Linked DNA regions of Tamandua tetradactyla. The protein of the gene in region 1 purifies or fractionates together with the protein of each later gene. This does not show direct contact. Links are inferred from orthologs where the notes say so. Each region holds a gene or a part of one and is shown in the gene's direction. Other genes may lie near its edges.

Evidence for each region.
Region 2: the proteins of AURKB (region 1) and SEC16A purify together in Homo sapiens (affinity purification with mass spectrometry; 3 studies listed by BioGRID and IntAct, with this or other methods). This does not show direct contact. The link is inferred for Tamandua tetradactyla from reciprocal best matches to the Homo sapiens genes AURKB and SEC16A.
Region 3: the proteins of AURKB (region 1) and HSP90AB1 purify together in Homo sapiens (affinity purification with mass spectrometry; 6 studies listed by BioGRID and IntAct, counting the BioPlex papers as one, with this or other methods). This does not show direct contact. The link is inferred for Tamandua tetradactyla from reciprocal best matches to the Homo sapiens genes AURKB and HSP90AB1.
Region 4: the proteins of AURKB (region 1) and CDC37 purify together in Homo sapiens (affinity purification with mass spectrometry; 7 studies listed by BioGRID and IntAct, counting the BioPlex papers as one, with this or other methods). This does not show direct contact. The link is inferred for Tamandua tetradactyla from reciprocal best matches to the Homo sapiens genes AURKB and CDC37.

The regions. Positions count from the first base shown.
Region 1 is NC_135332.1:62,040,889-62,048,396, reverse strand, and holds the start of AURKB (aurora kinase B), read left to right. Parts: upstream 1-4,499; 5' UTR 4,500-4,612; intron 4,613-4,632; exon of another isoform or gene 4,633-4,794; intron 4,795-4,884; 5' UTR 4,885-4,909; coding exon 4,910-4,957; intron 4,958-7,240; coding exon 7,241-7,364; intron 7,365-7,474; coding exon 7,475-7,508. UniProt on the Homo sapiens protein: Serine/threonine-protein kinase component of the chromosomal passenger complex (CPC), a complex that acts as a key regulator of mitosis.
Region 2 is NC_135328.1:126,035,449-126,043,015, reverse strand, and holds the start of SEC16A (protein transport protein Sec16A), read left to right. Parts: upstream 1-4,553; 5' UTR 4,554-4,806; intron 4,807-4,868; exon of another isoform or gene 4,869-5,424; intron 5,425-5,670; exon of another isoform or gene 5,671-5,934; intron 5,935-6,319; exon of another isoform or gene 6,320-6,524; intron 6,525-7,567. UniProt on the Homo sapiens protein: Acts as a molecular scaffold that plays a key role in the organization of the endoplasmic reticulum exit sites (ERES), also known as transitional endoplasmic reticulum (tER).
Region 3 is NC_135331.1:101,857,796-101,865,226, forward strand, and holds the start of HSP90AB1 (heat shock protein HSP 90-beta), read left to right. Parts: upstream 1-4,417; 5' UTR 4,418-4,549; intron 4,550-5,231; exon of another isoform or gene 5,232-5,337; intron 5,338-6,049; coding exon 6,050-6,196; intron 6,197-6,548; coding exon 6,549-6,755; intron 6,756-7,041; coding exon 7,042-7,201; intron 7,202-7,318; coding exon 7,319-7,431. UniProt on the Homo sapiens protein: Molecular chaperone that promotes the maturation, structural maintenance and proper regulation of specific target proteins involved for instance in cell cycle control and signal transduction. Undergoes a functional cycle linked to its ATPase activity.
Region 4 is NC_135337.1:91,390,706-91,398,262, forward strand, and holds the start of CDC37 (hsp90 co-chaperone Cdc37), read left to right. Parts: upstream 1-4,542; 5' UTR 4,543-4,914; coding exon 4,915-5,016; intron 5,017-7,557. UniProt on the Homo sapiens protein: Co-chaperone that binds to numerous kinases and promotes their interaction with the Hsp90 complex, resulting in stabilization and promotion of their activity. Inhibits HSP90AA1 ATPase activity.

The DNA.
Region 1 (7,508 bases):
AGTGGTTGTTAAGCTGGATTAGGTGACGACATGTCTCCACCCATTTGGGTGGGTCTTGATTGGTTTATTGGAGTCCTATAAAAGAAGAAACATTTTGGAGAATAGGAGATTCAGAGAGAGCAGAGAAGAACGACATAGCCACGAGAAGCAGAGCCCACCAGCCAGCAACCTTTGGAGATGAAGAAGGGAAATGCCTCCTGGGGAGCTGCATGAAATAGGAAGCCAGGAGAAACTAGCAGATGATGCTGTGTTCACCATGTGCCCTTCCAGATGAGAGAGAAACTCTGACTGTGTTCGCCATGTGCCTTCTCACTTGAGAGAGAAACCTGAACTCCATTGGCCTTCTTGAACCAAGGTATCTTTCCCTGGATGCCTTTGATTGGACATTTCTGTAGATTTGTTTTAACTGGAACATTTTCTCGGCCTTGGAATTGTAAACTAGCAACTTATTAAATTCCCCTTATTAAAAGCCATTCCATGGGTGGGCCATGGTGGCTCAGCAGGCAAGAATGCTTACCTGCCATACCAGAGGACCCGTGTTCGATTCCCAGTGTCTGCCCATGTAAAAAAATTTTTAAAAAGCCATTCCGTTTCTGGTATATTGCATTCCGACAGCTAGCAAACTTGAACAACATTGAATGTATATCTTCAATACATGTTGATTATATATACGTGGGCTTGTATTTTCTGTGTTTTCAAAATTTCATTTTCCAATGAGTTCATGTTCATTGTATTTTGTAAAACTTAATCATCTATGATAGATTGAATATAACCAGTCCTTCCCCACAAATACTTTGAGAAGCTCTTGATTTTATACTCAATTCACTAGCTTGGGCAAGCACCAGGAAGATCTAATAGTTTTTGTTTTGTTTTTATGAATAACGCAAAATCTGACACTGTGCTGGTCCATCAGATACCCTCAAAGGCTAAACATCTCCTGGCATAATGTGGAGGCAGAATTTAAAGACCCCAGGCTACAGGCATACTGTCTTGATCTTTCAAGTACATTTCCCCCATGCACTCTGACCTCTGACAGGATCCAGAAAGATGTCCCTTCACTAGGTCACGAGGAATAAAATGTACTTCAAGTGCTAGGATTTTAATAAGATTCTTCTTGGCCAGTCTCTTTATGCCAAGTAGAGGCACTGCAGTTGAAGCAGACTCCCTGATTTTGGGAAGCAGGGCTGGGCTTAACTCTAAGTGAAGACAATGTGCACTCCACAAACAAAACGGCTTTTCATAAATGGAAGCAGTGATTATGATCATCAGATGTCTGGGAGATGGCTCATCATGTGGAGATCTCTGACTTTTTTAATTAGTCAGAATGAAATATAAGGCAACTATGAGAAACCATTTCCACCACTAGCCTCTCACTGCCTGCACTGTGGCTGGTGGAAGGGATACTCACTTTCCCTGCGGCCTCCTTTGCATTAGTTGCGGGACAGAATTCTAGCCAAGGAGAAATCTGCTGGGTACTTCTATGCAGGCTTCAGTTTTCCCTAAGACAAATGGCAGCCTTCTTGCCACCAAAAGGGAAATGAGTATTGCAGAGAGGAGAATCCAGATCTCCAACACTGTTCGGTTCTCGAACCAGTTACCCACCGGGGTGGGTTGAATTGTGTACCCCATTTGGACCAGTTCTTGGTCGTGGTCCACATTTCGGATTCTGGTGGTGTGGACCCCCTATAAATAGGATATCTTGAAGATGTTACTTCCGTTAAGCTGTGGCCTGATTCAGGTTCGACTTTAATCTGGATGACTGGAGCCCTTTATAAGCAGAGTGAAATTCAGACAGAGAGAAGGAAAGCCACAGGAAGAAGCCAGAAGTCAACAAAGCCCAGAGAAGCCAGCCACAAGGAGATGCCACCATGTGCACTGCCACGTGATAGAAAAGCCAAAGAATCCCAAAGATCACTGTCCAGCCAGAAGCTCATAGCCTATAAAACTATGACCCGACAAATTCCTGTTGTTAAGCCAACCCATTGTACGGTATTTGTTTTAGCAGCTGAGAAATTGCCACACCCATTTCCTCTACATTTCATTTTATGTAAAGGAAAATAGGTTCCCATTGTTTATGCCTTTGATAAATGGGTTTTCTGTTACTTGCACCCAAAAGTATTATGAACTGATCCAGAAACCTATAAGGATTTATTTGATTAATATCTGGTTGAATCATATGAAATTTCCATTTTGTGTGTGGATTAAAAAAATAATGACTGGATATCATCAATTTCATCTCATCCAACCTAAACAATTCTACTATAGGTCTGTAGTTGTGTGTAAATTAGTATGCCTTTGACAGCAAAGAATAGAACTCATAGCCCAGAATGCATTACAGAAGGTGACGTATTCGTTCCCATAAGGAAAGTCTTGAAGTAGGCAGGCTGTGCTTGACAATGGCATAAAAGACTCAGGTTCTTCCCAGGCCTTGTTCTGACTTCTGCAGGGTCAAGCGTCAGTCTCTCTCATCCTTCAGGCACAGCACTAGCATCAGTGCAGGCTGTGTACTTCCTAGATCGCGTCCAGCAGGAGAAAAGGAACTTCTACTCAGCATTCTAAGTAAGAATTCTAAGACTAAGATTCCCATTAATTGGCCCATTTAGGTCACATGCTTTTCCCTGAACCAGAGAATTGAAGAAGTTGATTGTCTTAAATCAATCAGGGCCCAATCCACAAAATCCTAGGTGTGTTCAGGCAACGGGAATAGCTGGGAGACTGACTGCTGGCTGGATGGCCACAGTGTCCACTACAATAGCTCTCCATCAGGAAGGGACTTGTCACCAACAGAAACCAACATCTTGCTCACTCCAACAACAAGAGGATAACAGGTAGCTCACAGAATCAAAGGACGAGCTAACAATCACGCCTTGGGAAGCACAGAAACCAGGGCATTCTCAGGGATTTCGGTAACAAAAACCCAGTTTTTTGAGGGCACTGCCCAGACATGACTCAGTTTCAACTGCCTTTCATCTGTGCCTCACCCTGATTAAGAAGTAAACTCCCCACCTGGCAGCATGGGGCAGAAATCCCAGAATGAGCTGAGATTCAGCATCAAGGGATTGAGAAAACCTTCTTGACCAAAAGGGGGAAGAGTGAAATGAGACCAAGTGTCAATGGCTGAGAGATTCCAAACAGAGTCCAGAGGTTATTCTTAGTCTGGAGGTTATTCTTACGCATTAAGTAGATATCAACTTGTTATTCAAGATGTAATGGAGAGGCTGGAGGGAACTGCCTGAAAATGTAGAGCTGTGTTCCAGTAGCCATGTTTCTTGATGATGATTGTATAATGATATAGATTTCACAATGTGACTGTGGGATTGTGAAAACCTTGTGTCTGATGCTCCTTTTATCTACCTTGTCAACAGATGAGAGGAACATATGGGATAAAAATAAATAATAGGGGGAACAAATGTTAAAATAGATTTAGTTTGAAATGCTAGTGATCAATGAAAGGGATCAGTAAGGGGTATGGCCTGTAAATTTTTTTTTTTCTGTTTGTTATATTTTTCTGTGTCTTTTTACTTCTTTTTCTGAATTGATGCTAATGTTCTGGGAAATGATCATGATGATGAATATGCAACTATGTGATGATATTGTGAATTGCTGAGTGTATGTGTTGAGAATGTTTGTGTTTCTTGTAATTTTTTTAATTAATAAAAAATTAAAAAAAAAAAAAAAGAAGTAAACTCTCCAGGCAGAGATTCTGATTGGCTTGAATTGGTCACAGTATCATCTTTCAACCTAGGGGTCTGGACACTATGAGTAACAGTCTCATGGGGACTGCACAGAATGGGGACACCCGGGGGCTCCCTAAAGGGAAATTAGGGTGGTGCTACTAGAATGGGGAAATGATGCTGAACAGGCAATACTTAGAAACGTCCCCTGGTTATTTCAAAGGTGGTCCCAAATTTCTTTATTTAACAAAATAATAGAAGCTTGGAGTCTGAAGGAGCAGAGAATTAGAGAACATGGCAGGAAGGACAAAAAAAGAGTGGGTTCAAATGACGCAGCAGAAGTCAGGGGACCTGCCGAGAAATGTCGACCGGTGGAAAACTCCTGCGAGGGATGTGAGTGAAGGACTTTAAAGAAAAGGATAATAGTGACACAAAAATAAACACTTACGCAAACAACTTAATGGAATTAGAAAGCCCAGAAATAGACCACAAAATATACATAACTTAATATATCAAGGGTGGCATTTAAATTCTGTGAGGGGACTGGGCTGTTGAACAAACGGTGCTGGCACAACTGGCTAGCCATCTGGCAGAAAACAATGCTAGACCCTATCTCATATATACCCAAGAGTAAATTTCAGATACACTACAGGTTTAAATAAAAATTTATATTAAAAAGTATGAGAATACTTGTATGGAGAAGGAAAGGGAAACTTCCCGCGGCCGGAACCCTAGTGTGCCGCGGCTCGCTCCGCCCCTTCCATTGGGCCCCCGCGGCCTACGTCATGGGGCTATCAGCCAATGAGAACTGCGCATGGGCGGTGCCTTTAGCCAATAAGGTCAGGGCGGGAGATTTGAAAGGGCCACTGCGGGGGCGCTGCGGGGCAGCTTCAGTCGTTTGCGGGCGGCGGGGTGAGCAGCTGCGCGGCGGGCTGCAGGTGAGCTGGGCTCTTTCGCGGGCCCTGCGCCGGGACAGGGCAGGTGGTCCGGCAGGTGTGGGGGCCGTTGGACAGAGCCGCGCTCACTTCCTGGAGGCGAGGGGGGCCAGCACCAGGGCCGACGAGTCTAGGCGAGTGCCCGGATGCCCCCAGACTGCGGCCGACTTGCTGACCTGCCCCAGGCAAGCGCTTCCGATCGGAGATCAGACCCCTCCCTCTCTAGCTCCTTCTTTTTCTCCTTCTCATGGTTCTGTTTCCTTCCTCCTGCTCAGCTCTCCGCCCCCTTTCCCTCCAAGGATGACCCAGAAGGAGAACGCCCACCCCTGGCCCTACAGCCGGCAGACGGTAAGGCTCTTTCCTTTCTGTACTTCCAAACTGCAAGGCGAGAGTACCCCCTTAGAGAGTGTCTAATGCGCCCCAGTCCCGACTTTGGGGTTCTGCAGAGGGCGAGCCTTCAAGCATTTTCTTCCCGGATATGATCGATCGCATGGGCGCCCCCGGAATTTTTTATTTTTTATTAATTAAAAAAATAAAACAACAAACAAACGCAAACATTCTTAACTTTTGATCATTCCGTTCTACATATATAATCAATAAATCACAATATTATCACATCATGATCACTTCCTGGAACATTTGCATCTATTCAGAGAAAGAAATAAAAAGAAAACAGAAAAAAATTCATACATACCATAACCCTTACCCCTCCCTTTCATTGATCACTAGCATTTTAATCTAAATTTATTTTAACGTTTGTTCCCCCGATTATTTATTTTTATCCCATATGTTCTACTCTTCTGTTGACAAGGTAGATAAAAGGAGCATCAGACACAAGGTTTTCACGACACACATTCACATTGTGAAAGCTATATCATTACACACTCATCTTCAAGAAACATGACTACTGGAACACAGCTCTACATTTTCAGGCAGTTCCCTCCAGCCTCTCCATTACATCTTGAATAACAAGGTGATGTCTACTCAATGTGGAAGAATAACCTCCAGATAACCTCTTGACTCTGTTTGGAACCTCTCAACCATTGACACTATATTGTCTCATTTTGCTCTTTCCCCTTTTGGTTGAGAAGGTTTTCTCAATCCCTTGATGCTGGGTCTCTGCTCATTCTAGGATTTCTGTCCCATGTTGCCAGGAAGGTCCACACCCCTGGGAATCATGTCTCACGTAGACGGGGGAGGGTGGTGAGTTTGCTTGTTGTGTTGGCTGGAGAGAGAGGCCACATCTGAGCAACAAAAGAGGTTCTCTCGGGGATGACTTTTAGGCCTAATTTTAAGTAGGCTTGACCTATCCTTTGTGAGGTTAAGTTTCATATGAACAAACCCCAAGATTGGGGTGCCCCCGGAATTTGATGGCAGAATTGGGTCTGGTCCTTCACAGCCACATCCTAGGAAAGGCCTCTCAAGTGCTGCCAGCTTGACTCTGACCAGCCAGTGGCCCCCAGCCTGTGAGGACTTCTGCAGAGCTGGGCCTACATGTCACATGCAGGTGACATCTGGGGTTGAGCGTCAAGCCAAAGGCAGACCATGATTCCCTACCCTTGCCCTGAAAAAATATGTTAGGTGAGAACTAAAAATAGACTCTAGAAGGATTTAGATACAGTTACTGTTCAAAAGGGGTCCAGGACAAGTCTAAATTAATACTTTGGAATTTATTTTAATGACCCATGTAAGGAAGGGATCTAAATAGATTTCCCCCCGGATGGTAGTTGTCTCAATATCTTTCATTGAAAAGTCGACTCTGATTTGAAATGTCACCTTTATTATATGTATTAAATTCCCACATACATGTGGATCAATTTCTGGACTCTATTTTGCTCACCTTGCTTAATTAACTATTCTGTACTGATAATCGCCCTTTTGGAACAGGTTTTTAAGGGCACTGGGGCTTCCTTCCTCACTTGGCTGAAGAAAAAGGAAGGTGCCCTGCACAGACTCTGCTTTCTATTGGGGGCTTGGGCATCCTGGGGATTTTTCCTCTGCGTCACCCCCTTATGGATCCCTGAGTGAAGCTGTCATGGAGAAATAATAAGCCACTTCTGAATGAGAAACGATTGTCACTTCCACATCAGTCACTCCCCCCCAAAAGCTGTTTATAGTGCCCTGAGAGGTTGAAAATAGGAAGTGCTCGGTGGGCCACCAAAGAAGTCCTAAACCTTATGGACTGAGTTTTCCAAAGGACTGTTAGAATACCTCTGCTACAATTCCTTGAATTGTGGGTGTCCATTGGCCCAGCCCATTATCACCCCTGGGTTTGGGGGCACTGGGCGGTTGGGGGCTGATGTTATGGGAGGAGCTATAGGGGACAGCCTCATGCCCAAGAACGTGGTTGGAGCCAGAGCCAAAGAAGTATAATATAAGGTGTTGGGCTGAGTCCTTTGTCCCTTGTCTTAGGCCAACAGAGGCTGTTTACTATTCACCCATTTTTATGTGGGGCTGTGAGCAGAGCCTTGGGGCAGAGTAGTGGCACTGTGGTGTCAGTGTACCTCATTGAACTAAGGATGGGTGAGTGGGTGGCTTTGCAGCAAGTAGTACTGAAATGCTGCTTGCCACACATTCCAGCCGGGTCACTGGGACAAAAGCGCCTCAGAATTGTCAACTGTTCCTTCTCAGGCTCAGTCTGTCCTGAACACCCTGCCCCAGAGAGTCCTCCGCAAGGAGCCTGCCACCCCATCTGCTCTTGTCCTCATGAGCCGCTCCAGGGCCGTTCTAGAGCCTTCCAATGCCCAGCCCACAGGTAACCACGACGGGGATGAGGAATGGCCTGAGGGGACCAGAGCCTGTGGGGTGGGGACAGGGAGGACAGCCTGTCAAAGGTGAGCCTCAGTTTACTTGTTCTCTCCTTAGCTGGTCAGAAGATAATGGACAACAGCAGCGGGAC
Region 2 (7,567 bases), on another chromosome or scaffold:
GGACCACCTTCTCCCCAGGGGCACAGTTGCACCCCAGCCCCGGTGGTGCCTGGGAGGAGATGAGGTTTCAGCGAATGTCTGCCTGAAGGAGGCTTGCTGCAGCTGGGGGACGCTGTTTTTTCAGTCATCTGGGGCTCGGGGCTGGTGTGAAATCAGTGTCTACCTTGTGCTTTCTGCTTGTCTCTCTGCCTTTCTTAACGCCCTGTATGATTAGTACCCGGCTTAGTGACTCAAGGAATCTCTTCCCTTTGACCCTCCTCTGCCAAGCATGCTACAAGATCCTGCAGAGGTGAGGACAGTGCCGTGTTTGTGCTGTGGACAATGTGGACAGTGGCACCAGCCAGCACGGAACCTGGACCAGGCTTGGCGTGGCTTGTGGGGTTTGTCGTGGCCTTCCGGAGGGAACGGCTCCAGGCAGCTTTCAGCAGAGGGGGGCATGATGAGAGTCCACCCATCACCCCCTTTTATGGGAGGGGGTGGTAAATGGGCCTCAGAGAGGCAGAGGGATGTGCCCAGGTGTGCACCTGGTGGTGGCCTTGGGAGGTCTTGGGGAGCTTTGGGGGCTCACAGTACATCTGGACAGGGCAGGATGGCCCAGTAGGACAGGGGTCCTTATGAGAGGAGGAGAGGAGACCTGGGGAGAAGAAGGCCACGTGGGCCGAAGGAGGGACTGGGATGGTGTGGCCCAGCTGAGGGGCGCCCAGGTTGGCCAGCACTTCCAGCAGCCAGAAGGGGCAAGGAAGCAGTCCCCTATACCTCCATTTAGGACTTCTGGACCCCAGACCTGGAGAGAATAAATGTTTGTTGTTTGAAACTGCCCAGGCTGTGGCCCTTTGTTACAGCGGCCTTGGGGAGCTAAGACGCCACCTCCCCTGTGCTCTCTAGCCAGCTGGGCAAAGAGCTCTGAGTTCTGGAGGAGCCCTGCCTCCTCCAGAAGCAGGCCGCCGGGTACTGCGACATGGCGTGACACGTGCAGGCCGAGCAGGGACGTGGCAACCTACGTGCCAAGGCCGTGGGCTCGCGGACCCCATGGTAGCCCTGGGAAAGCCCAGACGGACCACACGGGCACATACAATAGGATGGCAACTCTGGGGTGGGTGTCCTCTGAGCTGGGCGCCCTGCAGGCATGGCCTCATTGCCTGCCGGAGGAAGGCAGAAGTCTGGGGACGAGGCCCATGGCCTGGTACCCCCTACCATGTGGCCAGCCGTGGCCTCCAGTGTGGGGAGGGGCTCAGACGGTGCTGGCAGTAGGACTTTCCAGCCCCGGCCCCATGAGGGGTGCCCCCCTCTGTTCACACCCTGGCTGACATCGACAGGGTGCCCCCCATGCTGTGCGGTCCCCCATGCACAGACACCACCAAACCATCATGCACAGCTATCTCTAGACCTCCTCTCTCCCGAAGGAACTGACTCTCCCCCCTTTCCTCTCCACTAGTTTGTCCTCTATGGCCCAATTGCTGCTTCTTTCAGGAAGCCCTCCCTGCCAGCTCTTTCTACCTCTGAGACCCTGCTCTAGCTTGCTAATTGCTGGAATGCGATATGCCAGAAATAGAATGGTTTTCAAAGGGGGGATTTATTAAATTGAAAGTTTATAGTTCTAAGGACATGAAAATGTCCCAATTAATGCAAGTCTATAAAAGTGTCCAAATTATGGCACCAACAAGAGGTTACCTTCACTCAAGAAAGACCAATGAAATTCAGAGTTTCTCTCGCAACTGGAAAGGCACATGGAGAACACAGTGACATCTGCTAGCTTTCTCTCTAGGCTTCTTGTTTCATGACGCTTCTCTGGGGGCATATTACTTCTTCATCTCCAAATGTCTCTGCCTGCACAGGCTCCCATGGGTCTCATGGGTCTCGTGGCTCTGTTGCCCTCTCCAAAATCTCTTTTAAAGGATTCCAGTAAACTAATCAAGACCCACCTGGAATGGGTGGAGTCACATCTCCCTCTAATCAAAGGTTAATACAATTGGGTAAGCCACAGCTCCATGAGATAATCTAATCAACTTTCCAACCTACAGCACTGAATAGGGATTAAAAGAAAAGGCTGCCTTCACAAGCGGGATCATGATTAAAACATGGCTTTTCTAGGGTACATAATCCTTTCAAACTGGCACAGATCCTAACGTGCTTTTGACCTGGGCACTCAGCCAGTGCAGTCTCACAGAAGCTGCCCCCTCTTTCTCTCTCCCACGGCCCAAGTCTGAAGATCTGCGTCAGGGGCTGAGCACAGCGCCCAGCATGGAGCAGGCTGCCCCACAGGCACCCACAACTCGCTGGCCACTCTTCACGCTGCCGCTGGACACCAGGGAGAGGAGTGAGGCTCTTGGCCCTCTGTTGGAGTGGCTGCCTCCCCTCCAGCGCTCCTCGAAGACCGTGACTGTGTGGCCAGGAAACAGCCAACCCCTCCTGGCAGCCACCAAGCTAGGAGGCCCAATGCCCTGAAGCCCACCCACGTGCTGCTCACACCCTGGAGATATACAGTGAGAGCAGCCACAAGGGCAAATTTTTTTTTTTTTTTTTTTTTTTGTATGCTGTATGGCAGCGGTCACATTTCATTCATTTTCCATGTGAGTATCCCATTATCACAGCACCATTTGTTGAATTTTTTGTTGGTTTCTTTGTTTGTTTGGGAAGTGCATGGGCCGGGAATGGAACAGGTCTCCCGCATGGCAGGCAAGAAGTCTACCACTGAATTGCACTTGTACCCCTGCACACGGGTAATTTTAAAGCTCCTCGTTGTGACATTTTATAAAGTAAAAAGAAACATGATATGAATTATAATAATCTGTTTTACTTAATCCAAATATATACAAAATATCATCATTAATGAGCTCTCTCATCTTCTTTCTTTTTCGTACTGAGTCTTAGAAATCTGGTACGTGTTTTGTGCCGAGAGCCCATCTCAGCTCAGACCAGCCTGTTGAGTGCTCAATGGCCGTCATGCCGCACAAAGCGAGCTTGTGGAGCAAGCTGGCTAAGCTGCCGTGCTGAGCTCACCAGATGACAAAGCTCCACAGTGATGGTGAAGGACAGCTGGAAGTCTGGCCTGGGTCCGTTTACAAGGCCCTGCCCACTGCCCAGGCACCTATGCCCATCAGAAGCCTGGAGTCCTGTGGGTTTTGGAAATATGTCTGCAGGAGAGACGACAGAGCCAGGGACCAAAGGTGCTACTTTGCGGTGATTCTGGCATAAGTCTCCCTGGGAAGTTGCAGGGAAATGGTGACATTTGAGCCCAGCCTTCAAGGACAAACTGTGGAGTCTGGAGAAAGGAGAGAGGAGAGACTATTCCAAGCAAAGCGAAGGAAATTGAATCAGGAAGAGCGGTGGCCCCCAAGGATGGGCACCTTCAAGGCATGGGCCCCTGAACTTTCTGCACTCAGCACCATCCTGAGTCCCAGGCCACCCCCAGTAGCCCCAGCAGCTGTGTCCCCAAACTGCCCAGGTGCTCACCCTGCTTGATAAAGGACCCACAGCACCTCCATGCTGGGCTTTAAATGAAGGGTCTGTGCTCTCAAGCCTGGAGCTGCACACAGGATCCGGGAACCCTCTGCTCTACACCAGGGTACAAACTGCAGAGAGCAGTGGGTCAGAGGGCTTCGGACAAGGGAGGTGGGGCAGTGAAGAGAGAGCAGCTGGCAGGCAGCTTTCCAGAAAGTCACTCAGTAGGATCCAGCACAATGCTGGGTTCATAACACCCCTGCCCCAGGGGTGGGCCTGGGGACTCAAAGGTCTGGCTTTGCCCAGGGGAGGGGTGGGTTCCTATAGCGAGAGTCCCATGCCAGGGTTGGATGACTGAGGCTTCTGCTTTCAGGCTTACTACCAATGTGAGAGCCAAGGAGAGAGCCCTGGGGCTGAGCGCGTATTGGCGCTCACGGCTGCTTTCCCCTTTTTCAGTGTGGAGAGAATCCAAGCCCACCCAGGCAAGAACAAAGGCTGTTTATCCAGAGCTTGCTATAGCAAGGAGTAGCCCACCATCACTCAAAGGCAGGCAGGGGAGTGGTGAAGCTTTACAGTGGATAAGAGTGTGCTCTGGTGGGAGCTGGGGGTGGGTGATGGGAAGGGGGACATCCCATGAGTTGGGTTAGGAGAGCAGATTTGGCTTTCTCAAGTGGATCTGAAGTTGGAAAAACGAGGGAAGCTGTCAGTTATCCATCAAGTCCTGGTTATTTGGGGGTCAAATATCACAGAGACGGGGGTTTGGCTTCCCAGGATGTTTACTATAGACAGGGCAGCCCCTGTATCGCTGGCTGCAGGTTATTGGCCGAGGTTTGCAGGCCACTCACTGTCCACTTGTATGCCCAGCCGCTCCCTAGGGTTAATAACAACTCCTCTCCCCAAAGAGGTGCCCCAGGGAAGGAAGCCATTCAAGTGGGGCAGCAGTGGAGCCGCTGTCCTCTCGCCTCTCTTCGTGGGGCCAGGGCTGAGTCCTCCCATGAGTTCCCTAACTCTGTGTTGAAACAGGCTAGGACCTGATTCCCGAAAGGCAAATGTTAGCTTAGTGGAGTGGCCTGTGGTGCCACGTCAGACAGGCTGACGCCCTCCCCCAGCCGCCTGGGGCCCTGACAGCGTGGCGGCTCCCTGGCCAGCTTCCACTCACTCCTTCCTGCAGTTTCATGGACCCTGGTTACACGGGTCCCTGGGGCACACCAGCGACCGGGGCGCCTTCTCCATACCCCGACCCCACCATCAGGGGGGCCAAAGGGAGGATGGCTGCAGGGTGAAGCAGTTGGGTGAATAAGCTTCCTACCCTCTGTTGAAGGACCGGGGTGCCAGCTGGGCCAGCCTCACAGGGCAGGAGGGCAGGTGAGTGGGCTGGGCTAGGCTGGTCTCTTCTGGACCACCGCGCCTTCGTTTTCTCATCTGGAAAATGAGGCTACAAATTGCAGTTCCCATCTCTTCATCAAGTTATGGCATGGGAGGCTGAGCTGGTGCCTGGCCTGGGGACCTGCTTGGCTCTGGTTCCTTGGGGGTCGCCAGGACCCCTAGTGCCCATTCAACACAGTCAACAACAGGGCGGAGATAAGGAGGGAAGTGGATTCCTCCCTGTTCTCCGTCCATGGGGTACAAGTGATTACGGCGGCACCCTCGTTTAGGGAACACAACTGAGGACGATCTGAGGCCCGCTGGGGGCGCAGACGGGCCGCTCGTCGCTGGGAGAAGCGTCAAGGCCTTTGAAAGGCCTTGGGAGGTGGCCAGCGGAGGAGGCGGGAGCGAGGGGAAGGACTGGGAAGATCTTCCCGGTGTAAAGCACAAGGAAAGCAGAGAGTGTGGTGGTCCCGCTCTCCAGCACCTGGGAAGACCGCAGGAGAGGGCTTGGGGGTGACCGAGGAAGGAGGCCGGATTTCTCTGCGGGTGCTGACCGGCTGGGGCGCCCGGGGCTTCGTTTGGCACCTGCTGAATACGGGAAGCCTGCGGGCGTCGGTAAGTTGTGGGGAACGCCCTGCTTCCTTCTAGGCTTTGAGGGACAAAGGAAGCGCCGTGCGAGAACGCGTTTAGTAAGTCGCAAGACGCTTCACAAAAGTTAGTTACAAACCAACTTCCGAGGGAGAAACAGGAACTGGAAACCCGGAACGGCTGTAACCAGGTAACCAACGCGCTCCCACTAGCGCCATGCGCGTGCGCATGCGCAGCCGGGCTCCGCCTTCGTCTCCGCAGCGCGACGGCCTTGGCGCATGCGCGTTTCCTTCCCGACGGTCCAAGCGTTCGGTTCTAACGGAAGACTCCTAAGAACGCGCCTGCGTCATGGGTCCTGCTAAGGTTCGCGGCTTGGCTGGGAGGAGCCGTTCTTGGTGAACCTACTGGCATCAGTCGTTCCAGGCTGACTCGTCCTTTGAGGTCTCTTTTTTTAACCTTAACCCGAGGAAAGGTTACGCGAAGCTTTCGTAGCCAGGGCGACGTCCCCGGCGGCCCCAGCCCGGCCCGCGCGGACAGGTGAGCGAGGGGCGGAGCGACATGGCAGAGGGGCGGGGAGAAGGGCGGCCCAGTGAGGGACGAGTCCAAGGCGAGGGGTGGGCGGCCGTCGCCCGGGGGCGGGGCGGGGCGGGGCGTGGCAAAGTGAGGGGCGTGGTTCCGTGTTGCGGGGCGGGGGCGGGGCGAAGGTGAGGGGCGTGGCGACATGACGGGAAGCGGGGCGGTGAGAGACAGGCCGAGGTGAGGGACAGGGAGGCAGCTGATGGTGGCGAGGAGGGGGCGGGGCGAGGGAGAGGCGTGTAGTGACCCGACGGCGGGAACGGGGAGGGGCGTGGTGGTAGACGGCGTGGGCGGGGCGAAGGAGGGCGGAAGAGGGGCGATAAGGGGCGGGGCGAGGGCGGGGTGCGTGGTGACGCGATGCCGGACACGTCGGCGACGCGGCGGCTGGGGCTCCCGGAGCCGGATGTGCCAAGATGGCTGCTGTGGGTACCGTGTCAGTTCTGGTGTCGTGTCTGCGCTGAGGGGGCTTTCCCCTGCGGCTCCTGAGGGGCCGGCCTTGGGGTTGCTGTGTGGCTGGCGGGACGCCAACCTCGGCTGTCTGCGCCGAACGGGTGAGGCACCGAGCGCGGGCCTCGGGGCTTGGGGGTCCCGCGGGCCAGAGCGAGGGTGCGGAGCTGTCGGGTCGGACGGAGGGGATGCGGCCAGGTGGACCGGGTCCGGAGTGGGCGGCAGCTGGGAGGGTCGGACCGGGATGACGGGATTCCGCGGGCCCAGGGGCTGCCGCAGCAAAATCGGGTCGGGGGCGAGGCCGTGCCCGGCACGGGTCTCTTCCTGGGGACCCGGTCCAGGCTCTGAACAGCCCGCCGGGTCAGATGCCTAGCGCAGGTGACGGTGTGGCCCGGCTTGTCGCCCTCTGCACTTTGTTGACTCGCCTCCCGAGCGAGCTGTAGGGCAGGGCTTACAGAGTCTCCGTCACAGATTGACGTGGACCTGAAATACACTATCGAGTCCTTGGCTAATGCTTGTCGGGCTTAGCTTGTCGTGGCTTCGTTGTCTTAGTGACGATGGCCTTTGTGTGGCTTGTGTTATTGATGAAAAATAAGCCAAAGAGCCCATTAAAAACCTGCAACGTTTAAAAAAATAGGGACACAAGAAAAATTTTTTAATAGTGTGTCCTTTGCTCTAAAAAGGATCTGGAGATGTTTTGCCCTCATGGGTTGAAGGATTCTTACTTAGCAATGCTGGTGCTGAGGTGTGTACATTTGACCCAAGAAGAAACATTGTTGCTGTTTATTTTTTCTTGACAGAGTGATCAAGATGCTGCAGGAGAGGTACATGCCCATGCCTCATTGGAGGGGGAAAGTGGAATGTATAAATCAAACATCGAAACCATTTTAATATGTATTTGCTGCTTCATTAAACACTTCAAATGGCTTTTAGATTGGGCATGGTTTGCTTATCATGATTTCGTTTCCAACATGTATGGTGCAGGTGTTAGCCAGAGAGGTGGTTCAGAGACCCCTCCCACCAGTGTGATGCCAAGAAGCAAGAAATCCCAGACAGTTGTTCCTAGATTGGTACTTTTGCAAATTCATGCAGCTTTTCTGCGGTGTATTTCTTTCTTTTTAACTATGTCCTTTCTTAGAATTCTTGT
Region 3 (7,431 bases), on another chromosome or scaffold:
CATTCCTTTTTTAATCAGAGGAGCCAGAGATGCCCAGAACCACTGTTTCTGCTCAATAGTGTCCTGCAGGTCCCAGCAGGTGGAGTAAAACAGGAAATGAGATACAAGAATTAGAAAAGGAAAAGACAAGCTGTCATGGTTCTCAGATGATAGGATTGTACCTAGAAAACACCAAAGAACTGACAGACAAATTAAGAATAAAGTATTTACCAAGCCATTGCATTTATGATTAACAAAAATCAATTACTTTTCTACTCTGCAAGAATCTGAATAAAAATGTCCATCCGCTATAGTATAAAAACATATAACATACTAATAAAAAAGGGAGCAAGACTTGTGTGTGAGACTTCTCATGTGCCGGTGGAATGTGGAAACTGAGGCAAAGAGATGGAGCTTCGGATGGCCTTGCCAACCGGCACAATGGTACAACACACCTGCTGTCAAAGCCATCGGCATAAAAGGGTGTCAATTCAGGTATTCCCTGTAGAATTCAGGGATCTAAACCTCCTGGGGCTAGAGAGGCCCCAGGCAGCTTGGACAGTGACAGGATATAGTGGGTGGGTGCCAAGCTTGAGAAGTCACTGGCTCTGGGGATTAAGGGGCGAGAGCTGCCATCTTGATGCCCTGGGTAGTTTCATCCACCCATTTTACCTTATCTCAGGATGCTCCCCTGCAGCTGCGTGACAATTTCCAGTTGAGCAGCAGCAGTAGGCCTCAGCCCAGGCTGAGTCTCCATGCCTCCTGCCAGACTTCACTTGGATTTATCTAGAACAAACTTTTACCTAGTTCTGCAATGTTGTTCCCTACAGGGTGACATAAGCACTCCTTTAGGCTTTGGAGGCCTACAGTCTCTATCAGGACTACTGAGCTTCACTGTTAAAGCATCAAAGCAGTCATAGACAATACGTAAACAAATGAGTGTGGTTGTATGTCAATAAAAGTATTTATGGACTCTGAAATCTGAATTTTCACGGCAAACATATTATTTTGCTGTAGGGTGTGGTAGTTAGGTTCAGATGTCAACTTGGCCAGGTGAACGTGCCTAGTTCTGCTGCTGCGGACATGAGCCAATGGTACCCACATCTGTTACTCATTACATCTGCAGTCGGCTAGGAGGCGTGCCTACTGCAGTGAATGATGTTTGATTTACTTGGTTGGTGCTTAAATGAGAGAGCTCAACGTAGCACAGCCCAAGCAGCTCAGCATACCTCATCTCGGCACTCGCAGCTCAGCTCAGTTCAGGCCTTTGGATATGCAGAAAGAAAGCATCCTGGGGAAAGTTGTTGGAACCCAGAGGCCTGGAGAGAAGGCCAGCAGAGATTACCCTAAGCCTTTCCATGTAAGAAAGAACCTCAGATGAAAGTTAGCTGCCTTTCCTCTGAAGAATTAATGAAATAAACCCCCTTTTATTAAAAGCCAATCCATTTCTGGTGTGTTGCATTCTGTCAGCTAGCAAACTAGAACATAAGGGTACAGGGATAGTTCAGCGGTAGAATTCTTGACTCAGGTTTGATTCCCAGCACATGCACTTCCTAAAACAAACAAGCAAGCAAACAAATAAACAAAAATTCAACAAATGGTGCTGCAATAACAGGATATTCACATGGAAAAAGAATGAAATGTGACCCCGCCATACAGCATACAAATTGAAATACATATACATATATAATTTTGGTTTTTATACAACCATTTTAAAATATAAACACCATTCTTAGCTCATAGGCTGTACAAAAACAAGAAGGCTCACAGCCTGCCAGCCATAGCATGTGGACCCCTGCTGTAGCCGGCCGCCCTCCAACAGCAGAAGACTGATCTAGGCCTCTGAGGCCTGACCAGGAACAGAGGGCATTGGAAGCTGACATCATCCTGGGTCCATTGCACATTGCATAAGGGAATAAGGCTTTCAGAGACCCCAAGTAATTTTAAGGCCCTATAATTCTCTAAATGTCTTTTCTCATCCTTAAACTCATCTCAGCACTCCTTAACCCAGCGTTTGCAGGCCATTGTGACCTGACCCCTGCCTACAGAGCCACTTGTGGCTCCTCCCTCATCACGGTCCCTTTAACAGGACTCTGCCTTTCTATGCTCTATGTCTCCTAGGAGTAGACCTATGCCATGGCATGGCTAGCTATTACTGTTGAACATGTCTCTTTCCCAGACTGAGCTGGGGGACTCTACTGCTCATCCATGCCCCTTCACATATGGCCTGCTGCAGCAACCCCACTGGGCAGGGTGCTCCTTGTCCTCCTATCATTGTTATCTGTGCATTCCCAGGTGAGGCTTACAGTGGTGGCTCAATGACTGTTAAGTAAATGGGGATGACAATTGGAAGCCATCCTGGAATACTCCCTGGAGAAGGTGGAGTTTCTGTGCTGGTGCAAGATTTGAGATATTCCCGTTTGGGGGAAGTCCTGGAGGGGGCTTCCATCCCGACACTGCTGGAAGTAGGAGTGGGTAGGGGGGTGGGTGTCCAGCTCAGGGAATGCCCATCCATGGGGGCAACTCCCGGTTAGTTTTTGACTTGGGTTCCCAGATACAGCATTCTCCACCCCTTTTTGGAGGAGGGAAGAGTTGGTGGAGTAAGGGCTCTGAGCTTCAGTGAAGTCTCTGAAGCCTCTAGTCCCCATACATAGAATGGTGCAGTTACTTTACCTCCTTGAGAGATACTGTGAATGCTGACAACCACGGAGATTTTTAATAAGCAGGGTCCCTCTGCCCAAGGGAGAGATGTGCTGAGGGATGATGCTCTTCATTTTGTATTTTCATCAGGAAAGCAGTGCCCATGCCCCCCCCCCCCCAATAGATCACAGGCTTCTAAGGAAGGGGAGTAGAAGGGCAAGAAGAGATGAAATAACAGTGGCTGCGGCAAGGATTCAAAGGAGGAGGTGGGACAAGATAGAGTTAAGCAGCAGTTTTTCTCATTTTGGAATGCAACAAAGGAACTAGGAACTGGAAGGAAGATGGGACGCCAGGGCTGGGGAGGTAGGAGGATCTTGCAAGTGGTGATGGGGTACACCACCCCCAACATTCCAGGGGTGGACTAAGAAGGCTGGGAAAGGAATTCCGGGCATTTACAGAGAACAGAGCAGGGAAGGGCTGTTCTCACATGGAAGGGCTGTGGGTCCAGCAGGCTCCCCAGAGCTTGCCAGTGGGAAGAGCAGGCAAAGGGGACAACACCAGGCGAGGTATGGCGGTCCGCAGGCTGCTGGGCAGGCGGACAACCTGGGAGCTCCGGGACCGCAGCTGAAGAGCAACAATTTGGTTTAGGCCGCCTGAGTGGGCCAGTGGCCTGCATCTTCTTGCGGCCTCCCAGGAGTCCCCGGAGACCCCACCCTTAAGTCCAGACAACTGCAGAAAGAGGCGAGAAGACTCAAGAAAAAAAAAAGAAAGGAAGAAAGAAACCAGTCTGCAAAACACTCGGACATGCCCGGATAGAGGACGCAGGTTGCTACGCCCCGCGCACGTGGGCGGATGCAGGGGCTGTGGCGGCCGGGAAGGGTCCCTTAGATTGGGAGCGGCTCCGACAGCCTGTGTCGTCTGAGTGCTTGGGGGAGGACAGGTACCAATCACTTCCTTCACGCTCCACCCCACCCACGTGGCAATACAGGGCCCGCTGGGTCCGGGCAATGGAGAAGAGGATCCCGCCTGTAGGGGACCTCCACGCCCCGCCGTGAGGTCCAGCAGAGCAGCCTGCAGAGCGCGACGATCTAGAAAGACACCGCTCCAGCCAGAGCCGGCGGGGTGGAGCCTCGAGGGGAAGGGGTGGGGCCATCGAGAGGAGCCTGGAAACTGCTGGAAGAATCGCAGCACTACTATCGCCGCTCCTTCCGCTGCGCACCGGCAAAGAGTGCCTTGCTTGTGTGAGCCGGCCCCTCCCCCACGGAGCCCCGCCCGCGGCAAGTCGGGTCTTTCCGCTCGTCCGCAGGAGGGCCGGGCAAGGGAAGGCGGTGTGTTCAAAGTTGCATCTCGAGTTCTCGGTCCTCAGAGAAAACCCACTTACCCTGTCGGGATGTGTAAGGCAGATTCTAAGAGAGAGGTCGGGGCTGGGAGTGGCGGTTGAGGTAGTTAGCTGTCTCTGCCTCTGCTGCCCAGCGAATAATTCGCTTTACAAGGAGTATGCCTACCTACAGGTGTGCCCAAAGTTGGTCTGTAGGGGGCGCCCTCCAGATGCACAGTTTAGGCCAATTGAGCATTCCCAATATTTAATCCTGAGGGTGGGTCGGCCCTGGAGCTACAGGAATGGGGCTGTGAACACAAGTAAAAGTGCAACGGATTTGTATTCTGAGACTAAGCACGCGCCCCCTGTCCTATTTTGGCCCATGACGTCAAGGTGGGCGGGCGGCTGCAGGTACGCGGCTGACGGACATCCTCCTTTAAGGCGGAGGGATCCGGGGACAGGCGGCAGTGCTGTGCTTCGCCTTACATAAAGCTGCTGGGGGCGCCCAGCCGCTCTCTTGAGTCACCCCCACGCAGCTTATATCTTGCGTGTGAGTCGGACACCGTCCCTGCCCGCTGTGCTCCCTGGTACTTGCTGCTCGCTCTCTTCAAGGTAAGGTTGGGGTCTCGTACTCCAGGCTTTTCAATCGCAAGCACTTCGAGTTTTCATCGTTTTTGGCATTTTTAAATCTTAGAATTATTTGTGGCAGCCTTGAGGTTTGGCTCCTCGTAATTTCTCTCGGAGTGGCCGAGGTTTCTACAGTTTTCCCTGTCATTTCCCTTGTACTTTGGTGGTGGGGCTTCCCTGGGTGGCGAATAGCCATGGGCTCAGTGGGCCGCGGATTGGGACCAGGGTGGTGGGCACCCAGCCGCACGTGGTGGCCGCGCCGTCCAGGGACGCTGCCATGTTGGTCCCTCCACTTCCGGACGCGACTCCAAGGTGCTGGAGGGGTCGGTAAGAGGTGTGGGTGTGCGTGTTAAGAATGACTCAGCACATCCAGGTGTTGCTACCTGTACTTTAGGACGCACTTGTCCTGAAGGGCTTTGGTCAAAGGGTTCGCGACGGGAAAGAACACTTGCAGATTTTTGAGGTCCGTCGTACTTAGTTTCCTGATTCCAGATCTTTCCTGCGTCTCGCGGCGGAGGCCGGGGGTGGATGTGAATTAAAGAGAGGGATTGGGGCAGACTGGAAGATCCATTGGCTCCCTCTGCTCTTCGAGAGGTGGGATTGTTCTGGAAGCTTCTGGAAGCCGGCGCCCCGCCCCGTTGTCTGGATGCTGGGGCGAAGGGAGGCTGCGCGGCGGCGCCCCCTCCTCGTGTGGCCCGGGCCGGCGCATGTCCGGCAGTGACGAGGGTCGGCCCGGCGAGTTGCGGCCACCATCTTAATTGTGCTTGGCTCAGGTACCTGTGCTTAAAGATCACGGGGCTTTAACCTCGGCTCTTTGTTTCTGATTTGCCTCTCATCAGTCCCCCATGGAGAGTGCTCCATAGTTCCTCAGGGGTTGACTTCCCCGCCTTGTGGGCAGCTGTCCTAGTCCCGGGTGAATCCATATGCTGACGACTCGAGATAATACCTCATGGGAAGCAGTTTCCAATCAACGTCGTTTTAGCTTTAATCTAGTCATACTGTTATTTTTTTTCTGCCACAGAAAGGGTAATAGTGATTTTGGGCGTTTAGGTATCCGTAAAGATTACTTGTGTTTCTTATTAGAGTCTAGAGGGTCTGGGGTGGTACCCTGTTTTGTATTTCTAACAAACCACCAGGTAATGCTGAAGCTGCTAATGTTTGGACCACTTACTGAGGAGCTGGGTTCTTAAAACATGTCTTTAAAGAAATTGTACATCTTGTTAAAGGATGCTTGTTTATTTTTTTTCCTGGATTGGCTACTCATGGTGCTGCTTGGTCTTTATGAAGGGCTTCTCTAGACCCTTGGAAATGGATAGGACTCCGTGCTGAGACGGTTGTATAAGTCAAATTTTGTTTACATAAAATCTTAAACAATTGAAAAGTGAATCTCTAAAGATTGCCTATAATGGGTCCAAGCATGCGCTGTTTTATTTCCAAGGACAACATGAATATGTTCTTTCTAATTCTGGATCATTCTTACTGCAGATGCCGGAGGAAGTGCACCATGGAGAGGAAGAGGTGGAGACTTTTGCCTTCCAGGCAGAAATTGCCCAGCTTATGTCTCTTATCATCAATACCTTCTATTCTAACAAGGAAATTTTCCTTCGGGAGTTGATCTCTAATGCTTCTGATGTGAGTGCTCTGGATTTGGTGTTTTCTTTCCTTTTAGCATCCCAGAAAACGAAGGAAGGCAGTGGTTTAACATTTGGTGGGGGCTACTGTTGAATGGGATACACCAGCAGGTTTTGGAAAAAGGTTTGCCCTGTGGACCGTCTTTAGTTTGAAAGAAAAGGGAGGGCTTAGGGTCTCTAAGGGACTACCTTGGGGGTAGAGTTAGTAAATAATCTGTGGTTTTTAAGCTTCAAGGTAAGTGGCAATCAGAATTGATGGTGTTTTGGGAGTAGAAAACTAAAGGGTTTCCTTTTGGATGAAGAGGAGAGTTTTAAGAACAGAATCTTAAAGTCACTACTCTGATTATTTTTAGGCTTTGGACAAGATTCGTTATGAGAGCCTGACAGACCCCTCCAAGTTGGACAGTGGTAAAGAGTTGAAAATTGACATCATCCCCAACCCCCAGGAACGTACCCTGACTCTCGTGGATACAGGCATTGGCATGACTAAGGCTGATCTCATAAATAATTTGGGAACCATTGCCAAGTCTGGTACCAAAGCATTTATGGAGGCACTGCAGGTATGGGACATTACATCAGGGCGTACACTTTTTTTTTCCTTCATGTGTATGTATTTCTATATTTATACATATGTGTAGAGAGGCAAATATGTATACTATAGGGGGTTTGTTTACAGCATGGTTTTTTGTGCGTGGGCCAGAAATTGAACCCGGGTCTCCTGCATGGCAGGTGAGAACTCTAACACTGAACCTACCCATGCATCCCTCCACCATTACATTTTGAAATGTTTCCTGGCTTCTTTCGTTTTAAACTGGTGTTTGACTTTAAAACATTCTTTTTTGGCAGGCTGGTGCAGACATCTCCATGATTGGGCAATTTGGTGTTGGCTTCTATTCTGCCTACTTGGTGGCAGAGAAAGTGGTTGTGATCACAAAGCACAATGATGATGAACAGTATGCTTGGGAGTCTTCCGCTGGGGGTTCTTTCACTGTTCGTGCTGACCATGGTAAGTTGACTGGGTTAGAATTCTTTGGGGATACCTTCTAGGTAAAGCAGTTTTTTTTTCAGTACATTTCTTCAATTAGTCTCAACTATTTATACCCCACTGTGATTGACTTTCTAGGGGAGCCTATTGGCCGGGGTACCAAAGTGATCTTGCACCTTAAAGAAGACCAGACTGAGTACTTAGAGGAGAGGCGGGTCAAAGAAGTGGTGAAGAAGCACTCACAGTTCATA
Region 4 (7,557 bases), on another chromosome or scaffold:
ACTTACTAGCTGCATAACCTTGGACAAGTCACTCAACCTTTCTGGCCCTCAGTTTCTTCATCTGTAAGACAGGGATAACATTAGTACTTAGCTAACAGGGGTGTTGTGAGGATGAGGTAAAGCAATGCATGTAAAGTTCTGGGCCCGGAGCCCATCTCATAGGAGGTGGCCACAAAATGGTAGCCCAGTAATAATAATAATATCACTATTGTTATTGAGTCACGTGGAGCTTTAGACAGATGAGAGAGACCAACACATTCAGAGATCTTACCTCCTGCCACCCTCACCCTCTCCCACTCCCTTCCAGCCCCACTGGCTTCCTCACTTTTCCGCAGACTCATCAAGCATGTTCAGACCCCAGGACCTTTGCACTTGCTATTCCTGCTATCAGGAAAACAAGCCTCCGATATCCTGTGCTCCTCCAATCTCCTTGACCCCCTGATTCTGCTTTTGTTTGGTTTGTTTTAGACTTATAAATTCAAACAAAATCATTGACTTATTTTAATTTATTAATGCCCCGTCCTTTGATTAGGGTGCAAGGCAGGGTTGGTGGTCTCTTTCCTTGCTGGGTCTCTAGAGCCTAGGACGATGCTGGCTTGCAGTATGTCCTCACCAAATATTTCATGAAGGAATGAATGAATCTGCCTGACTCCTTTACCTCCTTCAGATCTCTGCTCAAAGTCACCTCCTTCTGGAAGCTTTCCCAGAGATGGACTCCCCCCACACATTCATGCTGTCCCTCTCTACCCGTCACCCAGCTTTACTTCTCTTCTCAGCTCTCTCTCTCATCACTCCTGGTACATCTTACATTGACCTGTTCCTCCACTGCCCAATCCCTCAGGTCCATGAGGGCAGGGGAATTTTCTCTCTTATTCTAGGCTTTGTCCAGAGCCGGCTTCATGGGTGTGCGGCCAGTGAAGTGGTACAGGGTTCCACACTCTTGGAATGACCTGTGCTTTGTTTATCTCCACTATCACCGTCTTGAAAGTCCTCAGAATTCTGAACAAGGGAAACTCCATAGCCCATGGCCGGTGCTCAAAGATTTGTAGATGTGGAAGGAAGGAATGGAAGACAGGGGGGCTTGACAGCCCAAGGGAGAGCAACAGAAACACGCGCCCTAGCTCAGCCCAGACATGCGTGCACTTTTGCAGAGATCACACCAAGCAAAAAGCAAGCCTGCCTTCCCCTCCCCCGGGCAGCAGCCTGGCCAGGGAGGGGGTCCAGATGGCAGAGCAAGTCGCTTTGGACAGCTGGCACCCGGCTCAGGCTGAGAGAGGCTTCTCCCACCTGCTCCTAGCCGGTCAGCACAATCGGCACCCACCCGGCTGGTAGCCTCTGGCCTCACCTGACGCCCCAACCCCTGCCCACTCACCAAGTCCCTCAGAAGAAGTGAGGACAAATATCTCTGTTGGCTTCCTGTCCCTGGGAGCCAGTCCTGCAGAGGGGCAAGAAGTACCGAGGCCTCCATGCCTGGAGCTGAAGCAGGGCTCGGCACATGTCCGTGTACATGAGACTTTGGACACAGCTGTGCAGGTGCCACTGAACCGGCAGAGCTTTCTAGAAGCCTCAGGGTTGCATAGTTGAGACAGACAATACTGTAGGAGTGTATGTGTGTGACAAAGCAACCCTACCTAGGTGGAGTTCTACATGGGCATTTGGTCAGATGTGCCTGCGTGATTGTGACTTTGCCAGGATACGGGTGGGGGTAGGGTGGGGGTGGGGTCATACAGGCAGATGCAGCGACAAGCAGCATTACACAATGGGTAGATTTGGGTTCAAATTTCTGCAGAGCCACTGCTGGGCTATGTGCCCTCATGTTATCTGGGTTCTGGTATTTGTTAGTGTGGCTGTGTTTGTGTGGGTTTGAGTGTGTGTGTGAAGAGTAATTCCTTTCTTCTGAGAGGTCTTCCAGATACCGAAATTGAAGTCCGCTGCCCACCTCCCCAATTTTTCTCTCTTGTTATAAAACCTTCTATTTCCATCACAATCCTAATAACAATTTGTTATTTATTAATTTGTTTGTATATGTTGCCTCTTTTCTGTTTCCTCCACTAAATGTCAGCTCCACAAGGACAGGTGTTTTGTTTTGTTCACTGCTGGCTCCCCAGCACCTGGCATATAGTAGGCTCTCAGTAAATACTTACATACTGAATGAATACAGGGCTGTGTCTCTGTGGAAGTGTGAGGAGGGACAGGCTCTGGCTACCCTCTGCCCCCTTCCTTTCCCAGATGTTTACAATCATGCCTTCAGGTTGTAAACTTTTATGGGAAGGACAACACCCTATTGCCCTGCGGGTGATGCCTTAGGTGACATCTTTCCCCTTTCTCTGGGCTCAGGGACTTAATCATTTCATATGTAAAGTGGGATGGGGTTTGGACTGATTCATGATAACATCGCTTCATGATCTAAAGCCTACGAATTTAGTTTTAGTCTAACACACCCCCCCCTTTAATCTATTCAACATTTATTGGGCGGCTCTGCACTCAGCCCGACCATCCTGCAGCTCAGAGCACAAGGAGGGCAGACAGGACCCAGAAATTCTATTTAAATGTGAGTCCTATATCCCCACCTCCCCACTCCACTTCCCAACTTTCTAGGCCTGACCAAATTTTCCTCTTGGCAGTCTGAGATTGCCCACAGGCTCTTCTCCCTTTACCCACTGATCTCCTTCCTTTAGCAGCCTGCCTGGCTGGTTCTGTTTATTGCCGCAGACCTCCACACCTGTCAGGTGCCCAGTGCCCAGTAGGCACTCAAGAAATAGGTGTGGGATGAGCTGACAATGCCTGATGGGGCACAGGAGGACCTGGCCCTCGCTCAGCTACCTACGGGTCATTTTACCCACTTTGCAGATGAAGGAATTGAGGCTCAGGAAGGGGAAGGGAAATCCCCGTTCCTTGGCTCCCACCGCAGCAGCGGAAGCTGGGGCATTCCCGGCCCCTCCCCCTCCAGGAACAAGAAACACAACGGGGGTGCACTGATGGGGCGGGGGTGGGGGGTGGGGGTGGGGGTGGGACAGAGGGAGAGTGCAAAGCAACTCGGGATGGTTTCTCTCACTCGGCCTCCAGGGCTGAAGATGTTTTGCTGGCAGTCGATTAGGAAATGCTGGGCGTTGATGGGGGAGCTGCCGGCACCCTGCCCCTAGTTCTGGGAGCTGGGGATCCTGGCACCTGGTTCTCTGGGGCGGGGCAGTTCCAAGCTCGGAAGTCAGGGAGAGACCCACTCCTGCCCCCCACCTTCTCTACCTGGGAATCCTCAGCATCCAGGGTCCGACCCGCACATCCCGAGCCTGCAAAGGGTGGACGCGGGGACCCCAGCATTTCTGGAGGCCAGAGGAAGCCCCCCCTCAATGGTCCCAGTCCCTTCCTTCCAGAGCGCAGGACCCCCTCCCCACTGCAACGCGTAGCCGGAAGCTTACCTTAACTGGGGGGCGTTGGGGATGGGGTGTCTCGCCCTCTCCGGCTTAGGGGCAGGAGGGGAAGGGGGCGTCCAGACCCTTTGTTTGCCGGTGTCTGTGTATGTGCGCGCGCGTGTGTGTGTGTGTGTGCGATTATGAGTCCCGCTGTGGTGTGGGTCCGTGCGCGCGCGTGCCTGGGCCGTGACGGCCGCTGCGAGGCTGGACTGGCCCGGCTGGAGGGGGAGGGGGAGGAGAGAGGGACTCCCCCGCCCCCGCGCGCCCACCCGCGGGCTTGAATGGAGGGCGAGGGGAACGCGCGAGAGGGCGCTTTTGTCTGGCTGGTCCCTCCTCCTCCGAGAGCCGGGGAATCACCCCCCATCTGGAGACCTTTTCTTCATTCCCTCCAGGCCCCCGAAAAATCCGCCCCCGGGGAGTCTGCAAAGAGGCGCCCCTGGTCGGGTTGGTGGAGTTTCTCCCCTCTCAAACGCCCCCCTGCCCAGCGCCCCTTAATCTGGGATAAACCTGGCCCTAGGCTGCAACGCGGACTTTTATGCCGGGATCAAAACGTGGGTTGGGTTTATAGAAGTATGCGCTCGGCTTCACCAAGCTCAGAGTAACGGCAGTCCTGGGAGCGCCGGCCCGGGAAGGGGGCCCCCCACGAAAGGGGAGGGGCTGTGAGCGGCCCCAGACTACCATGCCGAGGAAAGCCCCCGACCCGCCCCTTCACGCTTCCCCGCCGCTGGCTAGACATTAGCGACGCTCAGTGGTCGTACGGGGAGACGCCGCGAAGGGCGCGCTGGAGAATTAGGGGGGCCCAGGTGATTCCAGAGAGGGGGTGTGTGCGCCAGAACGTGGGGGCAGAAAAGGGATCTGGTAGATGGAGGCCGTGATCCGAGCCGAGGGAACCCCAAACACCAAGGCAATGCCACATTCCCTCCCACCGCCCACCTCCCCAAGAGCAGGGGCAAATCGTTCTCCCCCACGTAGAGCCTCCCAAGGGTACCCCTCTGGCAGGATAGGTCCCTTAAGATCAGACGCCCTTCCCCAGGTCAGGGATGGCTAACCCTCACAAGGGGTAGGGGCGGGTCTTCTCGCCGAGGCCCCGCCCCTGCAGGGGGCTCCGGATGATGTCACTGAGGCCTGGCCAAAGAGACAGTCCTCGCCCTCAGCCTCACCAACTCCCCCACCTCCCCGTGGCCATCGCAAGGGCCCACCGAGGGGGGCCTGGAGATAAGGGGAGCTCATGCCCATGTGACCCCAGGAGGTGCCCAGGGCAGCCCGGGTGCTCGATGAGGTGTGTTCTACGCGGGGACTCCCGGACTACCGAACACGTGCGCAGGGCCCTTTAAGGGCTGGCTCAGTTGCCAGTGCCGCCTTCGCGGTTACTAGGGATGTGACGTCACCGCGGGCGGGCGCGCGCGCGCCTGGGCGGAAGCGGAAGGGGCGGGGCTGCGCCAGCTAGAGTCTCCAGCGCCGCCGCCGCCGCCGCAGCCGGAGCGGGCTGGGCCGCCCAGGCAAGATGGTGGACTACAGCGTGTGGGACCACATCGAGGTGTCGGACGATGAGGACGAAACCCACCCCAACATCGACACGGCCAGCCTCTTCCGCTGGCGGCATCAGGTAGAGCTCGCGCACTTCCGCGCCTTCCTTCCGCCGGGGCCCCCCCTCCAGGGTCCCTGACCCCTGATTCCGCCCAGGGAGGGACCCCGCCATTGACATCTGGACTCCCACTCCACGGTCTGGACCCTCACTGTCGCCCGGGGTCCCTCGATTCAGCTCCAGGACCCTGAGTTCCTTCCCAATTTACCCCCGCGAGCCGCTGGACCCCCTCGGATTATTGCGTGAGATTTCCTGATAATCCCTAGCACACCTTCCCCAGGGTCTGTACTCCTCAAGACGAGCCTTGGAGATACTCTCAGTCCTGTCTGGGACCTTCTATATTTACACCCAGAGCTCTGCGTCCGAATCTAGACCCTCCATACTTTAATTCTGTCCTGGGATTGCCTCTTGGCATTTTATGATTGAGGATTCCCAACCAGATCCAGAAAGAGAGCCTGCTTACTCCAAAGAGAACAAGGAACTTTGTCCTACCCTGAGATGCCCATTCCTGACTTGGGACCCTGACCCAGGCCTAGTAACTCCTTCACTGTAGTGTAGACCTGTACCCCCACACCCGCTAGGTAGGCCGGCATCCCCAGTCCTGTTTATGATCACGGTTTTGGAACCAGGTTTTCCCCCAGACTCAAAACTTCCAGTTCCCACCCTGATGGAGAGCTAATTCTAGCCACTCTCCTTTAGCCTCATTTACTCTGTAGCCCATTTCTCATTACACCGGGAACCCCACCCCCTTGGCTTCCAGAGTAACTACAACCCAGCTCTTTCCTGCAATAACTTGGCAGTACAGGTCCCTGCTGTTGCCTACCCCCAAGCCGAGCCTGGAAAATCACACCCAAACCCATGCCCACGGACTCCACATTCACTCCCCCTTACTCCAAGCCCCAGCCTGATCTGCCAAATCTCTGACCACCAAATTGGCCCTGCTCTCACCCAGACGCCCTCCTGGCCTGATTCCAAGCTCACTACCTACCCCCCCCTTTTTTTTTTTTTTTTGCCTACCTGCCCACAACGGAACCCTGAAATCCAGACCCCAGAATCCCAAGTCCGGGTGACCCATGTCCTACCACCAGCATGGTGCTTTCGGGCAGCAGGGTAGCCCTTGTAAGATGTAGGGGTCTCATCTGCTCCCCTAGTTAGGAGCAGCACCCACATACCTGCACCAATGTACCTGAGCCTGTTACACTCTCAGCTTGGGGTCCGTATCTCTCAGAACCTTCCAGTAAGGAATTTCCCACTCCTCCCTCCCATGTATGTGCCAGCTCCCAGTCATTTATCCAGAAACTTCTAGAAGGGCACTCCCCATCCTTCTGGGATACTACATTAGCCTCTACATCTGGCCCCCAGGCCACCTTCCAACCTCCCAGTCCTTTACACATCAGTCTCCTGGGTAGTGTGCCCTCTGGGCAGGCCACTGAAGTATGGTAAGAAAGTTCTAGTGCTTCTGTTTTTTACCCTGTGTGGCATTGTAATAGGAAATACTTAAGATCTCCGCAAAGCCCTAAATATTCTTAGGTACACCTATTTCTGTAACATAAAGAGGTTACTCTTTGCTGCTGCTTGGAAAGCCACTTGGTCCTGCCCTGCTGAGTGAGGCCCGCCCTCCTCCCTCCAGACCCTTCTCTCTGGCTCAGAACTGCTTCCTGTGTTGCCATTGAGAGCTACAACCCTTTCCTAAGTCTCCTGGGCCCCGGGGCTTTGGTGGGGAGCTGAGGAGTAGAGGAGCAGCAGGACTCAGTGCCCACAGCAGCTACAGGCAAGCTTGGATTCTAAATCCATTCCAGTCGCTTGCCGACTCACCCTGTAGTGGAGCGAGAGGCAGACCCTCCCTGAGCCCCTGCAAACTGAGTTGATGTGACCCCATCCTCTGTGAGACAGTTGTAAGAATAGAACGAGATTGGGTCCACAGAAGAACTTGGCTTGGGACCTGGTAGAGAGAAAGTGTTCCAGAGAGGGTGGTAAGATTAGTAGAAAGTTTGCCTGGCAGCTTGGTTCTGAGCTCAGGCCCGGCCACCTGGGTTCAGAGCGAGGCTCCTTCTGCACCACTGAAGAGCTGTTTGAACCCTCTGTGCCTTAGTTTCCCCAACTGGGAATATTACTGGTACCCAGGCCATAGGTTTGTGGTGAGGCTTATGTTATTTAAAGTCTAAAATTTTCTTGGGATAATATCTGGCACATAATAAAGACTCTGCGTTTTAGCAGTTAGCCTCATCTTTATTTCGGGAATTCATGCTCACGGTAAAAGAATTCTAGAGCTTCCAGAAGGGACATGGGGGCAAGTGACTCTTCCCAGCCCTATCTGTTAGGTCCTTTCTGCAGCCTTGGTTCCTGCCTGGCCCAGCATGCTCGGGCCTCTCACAGACATGAGCTATAAAGCCCAGGCCGGGCGGACAGCCACCCCTGCCACCTCCTGGAGGTCTTTATTTAACTTTGTCTTCCCTGGCAGCTGCTCGGCAGACTCTGCAGAAAGCTCAGCAATTGCCTAGCTGAGACAGGCCAGGTGGTTGCTTCCTGCTATGGCCCGGGTTTGGCTGGGATGGCAGCAGC